2 linked regions of the Cricetulus griseus genome follow. The protein of the gene in region 2 interacts with the protein of the main gene of each other region in a pairwise test. Links are inferred from orthologs where the notes say so. Each region holds a gene or a part of one and is shown on either strand. Other genes may lie near its edges.

The links.
Region 1: the proteins of Raf1 (region 2) and Rras interact in a two-hybrid assay, tested with the Homo sapiens proteins (2 studies listed by BioGRID). The link is inferred for Cricetulus griseus from reciprocal best matches to the Homo sapiens genes RAF1 and RRAS.

The regions. Positions count from the first base shown.
Region 1 is NC_048599.1:153,902,839-153,907,404, reverse strand, and holds the start of Rras (ras-related protein R-Ras), read right to left. Parts: upstream 3,075-4,566; 5' UTR 3,035-3,074; coding exon 2,882-3,034; intron 1,197-2,881; exon of another isoform or gene 1,174-1,196; intron 842-1,173; coding exon 754-841; intron 648-753; coding exon 545-647; intron 461-544; coding exon 352-460; intron 1-351. UniProt on the Homo sapiens protein: GTP-binding protein with GTPase activity, likely involved in the regulation of MAPK signaling pathway and thereby controlling multiple cellular processes. Regulates the organization of the actin cytoskeleton.
Region 2 is NC_048601.1:29,213,634-29,217,445, reverse strand, and holds part of Raf1 (RAF proto-oncogene serine/threonine-protein kinase), read right to left. Parts: intron 614-3,812; coding exon 586-613; intron 483-585; coding exon 355-482; intron 18-354; coding exon 1-17. UniProt on the Homo sapiens protein: Serine/threonine-protein kinase that acts as a regulatory link between the membrane-associated Ras GTPases and the MAPK/ERK cascade, and this critical regulatory link functions as a switch determining cell fate decisions including proliferation, differentiation, apoptosis, survival and oncogenic transformation.

The sequences.
Region 1 (4,566 bases), on a different chromosome or scaffold from region 2:
CTTTCTAAGTGAGGCATCGGGAAGATTATGAAGATGTTTTTGGTAGCTAAGAGGCAGGCAGGCAAGCAGTAAGGGTGTTCTTGGTCAGGAGAGGGAAGCACACGCCAGCTAGGGAACAGTAGTAGCAAAGGATTAGTGTAAGGGTCGGGACTGTGGTGCAGTGGTGGAACCTCTGCCTAGACTCTTCCAGTGAGTGCTAAGGGAGTAACTCAGTGATAAAGCACCTGCCTAGAATTTCCCAATGAGTGGCTGGGGGTGTGACTCAGTGCAGAAGACCCAGTGTAGGAGAGGTTTCCCTGCAAGAGCCTCCCAGGTCCAAATGGGGTCATCAGGTAAGGGGACATCTCAAACCTGGCGCTGTGTCTCCAGATCTGCCTTGTTCCCAACTAGCACAACGGGGAAATCGTCACGGTCCTTGACTCTGAGGATCTGCGTGAATAGCTTGCCCACCTCATTGAAGCTGCAAGAGAAGCCAGTAGTGAGAGGCTGCCTCTGGGAGGAACCTGTCGTGTGCTCAGTCCGGTGCACCAGTGCTCCCCCTCACCTCTGCCTGTCATTAATTGCAAACACCAGCAGGAAGCCGTTGCCAGCACGCATGTACTGCTCCCGCATGGCACCAAATTCCTCTTGACCAGCAGTGTCCAGAACTGTGAGACAGGGAGAGGAATATGTGGGTCCTAGGCTGCCCTGGGGATGCTCATAGGTTCTCTCAGCCCTGCTATCTGCCTCCCATCCAAGCCCAGCCATCCTCACTGTCCAGCCGTGCAGGGATGCCATCCACAGTGCAGATCTTTGTGTAGGAGTCCTCAATGGTGGGGTCGTAGTCAGACACGAAGTAGGACTGGAGGACAGAGAGAGGTCACTGTCATCAAAGCATTTTGTGTGTGTGTATGTGTGTGCCTGTGAGCCCTGTCCCTAGATCTTGCCCTCAGTCTCTGTCCCACTCTGGGTCTCTCTCTCTCTCGGTCTCTGTCTCCTCTCGTTCTCTGGGCCCATCCCTCCCCCTTGTCTCAGTGTACCTGTCTCTCCCCACTGCTGTCCGTGTCGTCTGTCTCTATCTGGGCCTGGCTGTCCCATCTCTTTCCCTCTCCATCTCGCTGACTCTCTGCCCTGCCTGGCTATTCTGATTCCATCTTTCTGACTGACTGTCCCCAGGTCATGGATCCCTGTTACCAATCCCGTTGTTCTCTCTCTTGGGGCCTCTGCTTTCTTCAGTGTAAAGTATCTTCCTTTGCCATGATCACTCCCAGCTGCAAAGTCACTCCAAACAAATCACTTTCCCTCTCTGAGTCTCAGTTTCCTCATTTGGAGAAAGGATGAACACACTATACATCTGACAGTGTTTGATTTGCAGGAATTCTCTCCTCAACACTTAACGCTTGGCCTGGTGATAGTCAATGATCAGGTTCTGAGACCTCTAGTTGACCAAAGCAGCTGCCTATCTTGCCTGTCTCTCTTTCTTCCCTTCCTCCCCCTTCCTTCTTCCCTCCTCCACTCCTTCCTCTGTGAGCAGCCAGTGTCTCCTCCCTGGGGAAGGTCTAGGTTCCAATGCTGCTTAGAAGAGTCTGCCCCACCCTCAACCTGCCCCTCCCTTCCTGCCTGGGTCCTGCTGCCTCCAGCCAGACCTCTGGCCAGCTCTGGGTTTGGCCCTGAGTGCCAAGGGCTCAAATTTGGGCTCTTCTTCCGCTGTAGGCTTCTCACAGGCATTGATGGAGGTGCCTCGTGTGTGTATGTCTGTCACCCAGGAACCTCTACTGCAGCGAGTGGGCTCTCACCTTCCTAGTGTTGCCCTGACCAGTGTGGGGATGGTGTTGGGGGGGGGGGACTCCCTGTGGGAACTGGGTGGAGGTTTCCGGGGCTGGGCTGGATTTTCAGAACTTGGCTGCTGGGACTGAAGGTGGCTTCCTCTCTAGAGGGTGTTTGTTGAGGGCTGGGGCTGGAAGGGTGAAGGAGCAGAGCCTGGTGAGGATGAGGCTTGGTTTGTGTGGGGGAGACTATAGGAGATGCTCAAAGGTGAGAACAGCCTGGAGCACGCTTGGAGGGTAGGTTTATGATGTAGTGGTGCATTTATGGGTCCTAGAATCTTCCAAGTAGCTGGTCTTTGGAGGTTGTGGAAAACCTGAGGTTTCTTTTTTTGGTTTTGTTTTTAACCTGGAGGTGACCTGGGAGCTACCCAGGATTTCCAGAGGTGAGGGCAGGGAGTTGGAGTGGAGTGAAGATCTTAGAGTAGAAAAATGGTAGATTTTCCTTGGGTTGGGGTGGGGTGGGAGAGTGAGGGTCTGCATTTAGCAGAATAAGATACTGCCAGATATTGGTGTTTTCCTAGAATGGCAGGATCTTCCTAAGGTCTGAGGGGAAATCTTCAGCAGGGGTTACAGAGTCCTATCTAGAACCAACGTCTGGGCAAAATTTTCCAAAGTTTGGGAGATGCTCCCTGAATAGAGGGACTAGGGCTCCAGCTGTGGGAATGTCAAAAGTACAGAGCACAGCTGCTGGGCCAAGTCGGGCTCTTGGGTGGTTAAGAGGTTAATAAGCTGGGACTTCGGGCAGGCAAGGTTCAGGTGTCAGGGCCTCACGCTTAGGATCTGAATGGAGCAATTATTTAGAATTTAGGGTAAGCAGGGCCAGGTCCGCTCTCAGGACTCTCAGGTACCTCAGGGAGGGTGATCTGCCTCGGGACGTATTAGGAGAAAGCTCTCCGCATGAAGGGGGTGGAGGCCTTGGGCACTTTGAGTAGCGATCTGCAGGGATCTTTTAGGATTAGAGACCCTCTTAGAAGAGTCTCAGTGATGGCTCTGGGAGAAGTTAAGAGTTCCAGGGAACCCCCAAAGGGCTCAAATTCTCGTTCTTGGGGACACCCTCCCCGGTGAGGGCCCACTACCTGGATGAACTGGATGGTCAGCGCGCTCTTGCCCACGCCGCCGCCGCCCACGACCACCAGCTTGTGAGTCTCGCCGGGCGGGGGGTCCCTGGGTCCCGGCCCCCCGCCCCGGGGCCGCCCCCGCCCAGTCCCGGACGCCGCCCCGCTGCTCATGTCGCCACCGCTGCCGCCGCTGTCGCTACCGCCTGGGGGGGGAGTCAGGAGAAACCAAGGCGTGGGTTATGCTAATAAGAACTGCATAAACATGAGCTCCGGACTGCAGGATGCGCGTCTCCCGATGCTCCGGGAGAAGGCGAGGCCAGGGAAAGGGAGGAGCTATATTAATAAGTAAGAGTAGGGGAAACAAGTTGGCAAAGACCGGAACTCCAAGGGGGCGGGGATATGCTAATATAGATCAGTGCCCACCCGTAGCCCAGCCACGTGCTCCTTTCAGACAGTCCACCTTTGGGAGGAGCTATGTTAATAAAGCCCCATGTTAGGGCGAGAAGTTCTTGCAGGGCGGACATATGCAAATGAGGACACCAGAGGTAGTGGTTATCTAAGGACCACCCCTGGGTATTTCTGGTAGGTGGGGCTCGAGGTTTCAGGGCCGTATATAGGGCGCTTTTAGGAAGCTCAGGTCTCGGAAGAGAAGCTCCGCCTCCTTCCTGGGATCGTCGCCAGCTTTCTGCCCCGGCGTTGGTCTACAAGCTGGAGTCTTGCCTCGACAAGGGACTCAGGCTTCCGGTTCCCCATGTCCCAGCCAAACGGAAGATAGTCTGGGAGGGAAGCTGGGGCCCTGGAGGGGGACAGCAGGGTAACGGGGCAGGGACGGACGGGCGGGCTGTGAGATCACCACATTCCTAATCCATGAGCCAGCGCATCCTATTCGGGAAGTCCGGGGCCAGAAGGCCCTACAGCCAGGGTCTCGGGTTTGGAGGAGGCAGTTGATGACTCAGGCAACTGGTTCCTACGAGTGCATGGAGTTGGAGACTTGGATTACCGGGTCCTAGGGAGAACGGGGTTTCGGGAGGGGCTCCGTGCTATTAGATTAGGTCCTGGGGAAGCTGAGAGCTCGGGGCCGGAGGACCGAGTCTGGGGACTCGGAATTCCGGGCTCGAGGGCATGAGTGCGCGAGGGAAGGATTGCGGAGGCTTGTGTAATAAGGTGCGCTATGGACCTCAGGAACGGGTCAGAGAGGAGGACTGAGTCCCAGGAGGAGGGAAGTGAGTCTCCACTTTTCTGTTCCGAGTCAGAGGACTCAGGTTTCGGACTTTACTGCCTGAGTAAGGACGCTGTGGTCTGATTTAGTAGAGATTATTGTAAATCCAAGACTATCTTGGACATCTTAGAATGAGCTGTCTCAGAATAAAAAATAAAAAGAGAGCTGTAGGTGATGCTCAATAATGGAGCGCGTCCTAGCATGTATGAGGGTCTAAATTCAATCTCCAGTGCCCCTAAAATGAGTCATTTAAACTGGGCGTGGTGGCGGACGCCCGTAGTCCCAGCACTAGGGAAGCAGAGGCAGGATGACAGTCTGCAGCAAGTTCCAGGGCAGTCCCAAAAAGCCTCCTTGGGACTTCGAGGGGAAAAAAATGACAAGGGTCTCCAATTCAGAAAATGGGCGGGGTAGAGTCTAGTTTCACTGAATTGAACTTCAATTCCCATGGATCTCCACAGCGGAGCACCTTTTTTACATCACTTCC
Region 2 (3,812 bases):
CTCTGCCCACGAGGCCTCTGAAACAAGTGGAAATCATTCATAACCCATAGAATGCCAACAGCCTGCTGAGAGCAAGATTATCAAAGAGTCATCCCACCCCCATCTGTTCCTGCTTCCTTTAAAGATGGGCACTGTCATTGCAGCTACAAGTTTGTCTTTGAGGAGATACCAGTTTACTGAGTTGTAGCCAAATGGCAACTTACAGACAATGAACATGCTAGGGGACACTGCATTCATTTTCCTTCAGTATTTTTAATAGGTTCCCACCCCCAAATATGTTAAATGCATCCGAATTTCTAAGAGTTTATCTTTACTAAGCCCGGAGGGGCAGGAGGTATTATCAGCCATACTCACAATTTTGTTTTTTTCCTGGGTCCCAGATCCTGGTGCCCGTTCTCTTTGTGCTGGCACAGGGGTTTTAGGCTGCGACCATCCTGTTGGGCTCAGGTTGTTGGGGCTGCTGGACAGGGCTGAAGGTGAGGCTTAATAGACAAGACAAACAGAATCCGAACGTAGATAAGCCAACAAAAGATCACAGCATAGAGAGAAAAAGCCCATTACTGATCATTAAATGGGGTAAAGTACCTGATTCACTGTGACTTCGAATTGCATCCTGAAACAGAAAACAAAAGCTAATCAGATACACTAGAAAAGGCTCTTTCTCTTGGGGGTGGGAGGGAAGGTTGTAGGAACAAAGTAATTACTAACCCTCTAAAATATAAAGTATACTTCCATACTCCTAATTTCCTGGTTTACCTAATGCCCAAAGCAATTTTTTTAAAGAATGATTTCTATTAAATCCTACATGACGTGAGTCTAACTTTTCATGGAAACCACATCATTTCTCAGAAACAAACCTTCAGCAAAGGCTGGCATCTCCCCCACAGACTCAGGATCCTGTTCTGCTGAGGTTTAGCCAGAGACAGAGAGACAGAGATCCAGTGACAGGCTCATTTTTACTTTAGTAAGAGTAAAGGACAAATATGGACCAAAGCTGGATTTAACACAGGTGAGTACTACTTAAAGCCTAAGTTACAGGGAACTGAAAAAACATGAACCCCAGAGCCTAAATCCTGTGTGTACATCTTAAAACCCACATGGACAGGAGGGGAGACTCAGTAAGGGTCACAGAGCAGTGAGTGGCAGAAATGGAACCATCACATATGGATCTCAGCTCCATTAGCATGAGATACTACTTCAAACCTTAGTGATGTTCTCAAGCTGGCTACATTTTCTTATGTAACAAACCAAATCTACTAGACACTATAAACACTGTTTGAAAAATGGTTCGGAAACACAGGGACCTACCTCCACCAGACATTGTTTTTAAGATTTTATTTTTGATGTGTATGTGTTAGAATGCAAGTGCCCATGATCCCAAAAGACAGTGTGGGATCCCCTGAAGCTGGAGTTACAGGCAGTTATGGCCTTCCTGACATGGGTGCTTGGACTTGAACTTGGGTCCTCAAGGGCAGCACATACTCTAACTGCCAGAAGAGGATGTTACATCCTCTGGAACTGAAGTCAGAAACAGTTGTGAGCCTGCATGTGGTGCTGGGACCTGAACCAGGGTCCTCTGCAGAACAAATGCTCTTAACTGCTGGGCCATCACTCCAGCCATATTTTTTGGTTTGTTTTTGATACAGGGTCTCATTGTGTAGATCAGAATGGTCCTGAACCTGCCATTCTTCTGCCTCAGCCTTGTTAGTGCTGTGATTATAGGCATGTGCCACCACACCTACCTTTCAAAGATAGCTTTACAAGAGTAAAAGAACCACAAACCAAGCTATTGCTCTCTCTCTCGTCTCTGTCTCTCTCTCTGTCTCTCTGTCTCTCTGTCTCTCTCTCTCTCTCTCTCTCTCTCTCTCTCTCTCTCTCTCTCTCTCTCTCTCTCACACACACACTCACACACACACACACCATTTCAACCAGCTTACCCAAGTATTGTTAACAGCATAGAGTAAAGCCTAATTCTGATTCCCAAACCTGGCCTGTGTAAAACATCCACAGAGATGCTTAAAAATCCAGATCCTTGGGGCTCAGGAGAGGGCTCAGTTGCTGAAGAGCTTGCCATGTGAGCACAGAGTGGCAGCACATGCCTGTGAGCCCTGCACTGGGAAGGTGGGGAAAGGAGGATCCTAGAGGCTCGATGACTGGCCAGCCTAGCCTAACCAAGAAGCTCCAGATTCAATGAAAGACCCTATTTCAAAACACAGAATGGAAAGAAAATTGGGGCAGACACCTGGCATCCTACCTCCACACACCTGCACACACACTACAGATTCTCACTCTACAACTCAAACTAGGTCTGATGATTTGTGTCTGTGAGGGAAAGGTGAAAAAGCCTGCTGTCTGTATAAAGAAGCATGGCAAGTGGGAGAAATATTGGCCATTCAACCAATCTCTTCTGTTATTTTTGGTTTGGTTTGTGTTTTTCTTTTTTGAAACAGGGTTTCTCTGTGTAAGTCTGGCTGTCCTGGAACTCACTTTGTAGACCAGGCTGGCTTTGAACCCTGGAGATCTGCCTGCTTCTTCCTCCCAAGTGCTGCGGTTAAAGGCCTGTGCCACTATGCCTGGCTTATTTTTTCCACCCTTTTCAATGACACATGATTCAACATTTTAGTGTGGATATTGTTTGGCTTACATCAGTTATGTTCTTCTAAAATAGTACTTAAATCTGGGAACACATAAAAATTTATCCTGGGATTATGCTATCCAATTATAGTAATTACCACCAAATAAAATACAAAGAAGGAAAAGGCAAGAGACTTTAAGAAAAACTATCGTGCTATACTCTGGAATATAATTATAATAAAAAAAATTCCCAAAGAGGTCCAGGTGGTGATGTTGCATACTTTAATCCCAGCACTTGGAAGGCAGAAGCAGGTGAATCTGAGTTAGAGGCCAGCCTGTCCATGAAGTGAGTTCTAGGACATCCAGAGGTACACAGAAAAATAACATCAAAAAAGGGGGGGTGGGGAGACAAGAATTAATTTTCTTCTGAGGCACAATTAGGATTAAACACAATACTTGTGTTACTTACATTAGAAATTGGAAATTTTTCACTTTGAATGTATTAACAATTTATATAGGAACAAATTGTGCATGAAAAGAAAATGGCTACTTCATAATTGTATATAAATGTATAGAACCAATCATTATGATAAAGCCCATAGCTTACACAGGCAGGGCAAGTGGTTAAAGGTGATTTGTAGCTCAAGAAAAATTGCACCTAAGATGGCAGGTATCGAGGAACAAATTTTGCAAAGATGAGAAAGCATAGTTATATGGCCATGACTACTGTCTTTTTAATTTGAAACAGGATCTCATTGTGTTGTCTAGGCTGGTACTGAATAAGGTCCTCCAAAGTGGTGGGATTCTAGGTATGTGCTAGAATGTCATACTTTGCAATTGGGTGTTTTTAGGTCATATCAACCAAATGGGTAAAATGTTTTGGTTTCTAATGTCTGAACTCAGTACAGATGCTGAGTTACTATTATCAGTCCATCATTTGTCTTTTGACATAACTGAGTTTTTAAAAACTATTTCAATGCCCTTGCCTCCAAGAATCTACCTTGAGAAATTCACCTAGCAGTAGTAACTTGCATAGTGTTTATTTTACTCATATTCTATAGAAAAGAAAGAAAACATAGCAAAAGTCTGAGTAGAACTGTAAATTAGTGTATCCATTGTCTCACGTGATAGTCTAACATCTGACAGTCTAACCTGTTAAACCCAAGAAGCAAAGGCATGGAGAAAATACCTACTCTTCCCCTCAGACAAAACCGTCTGGAGCACGCCCTGGGAGAGGC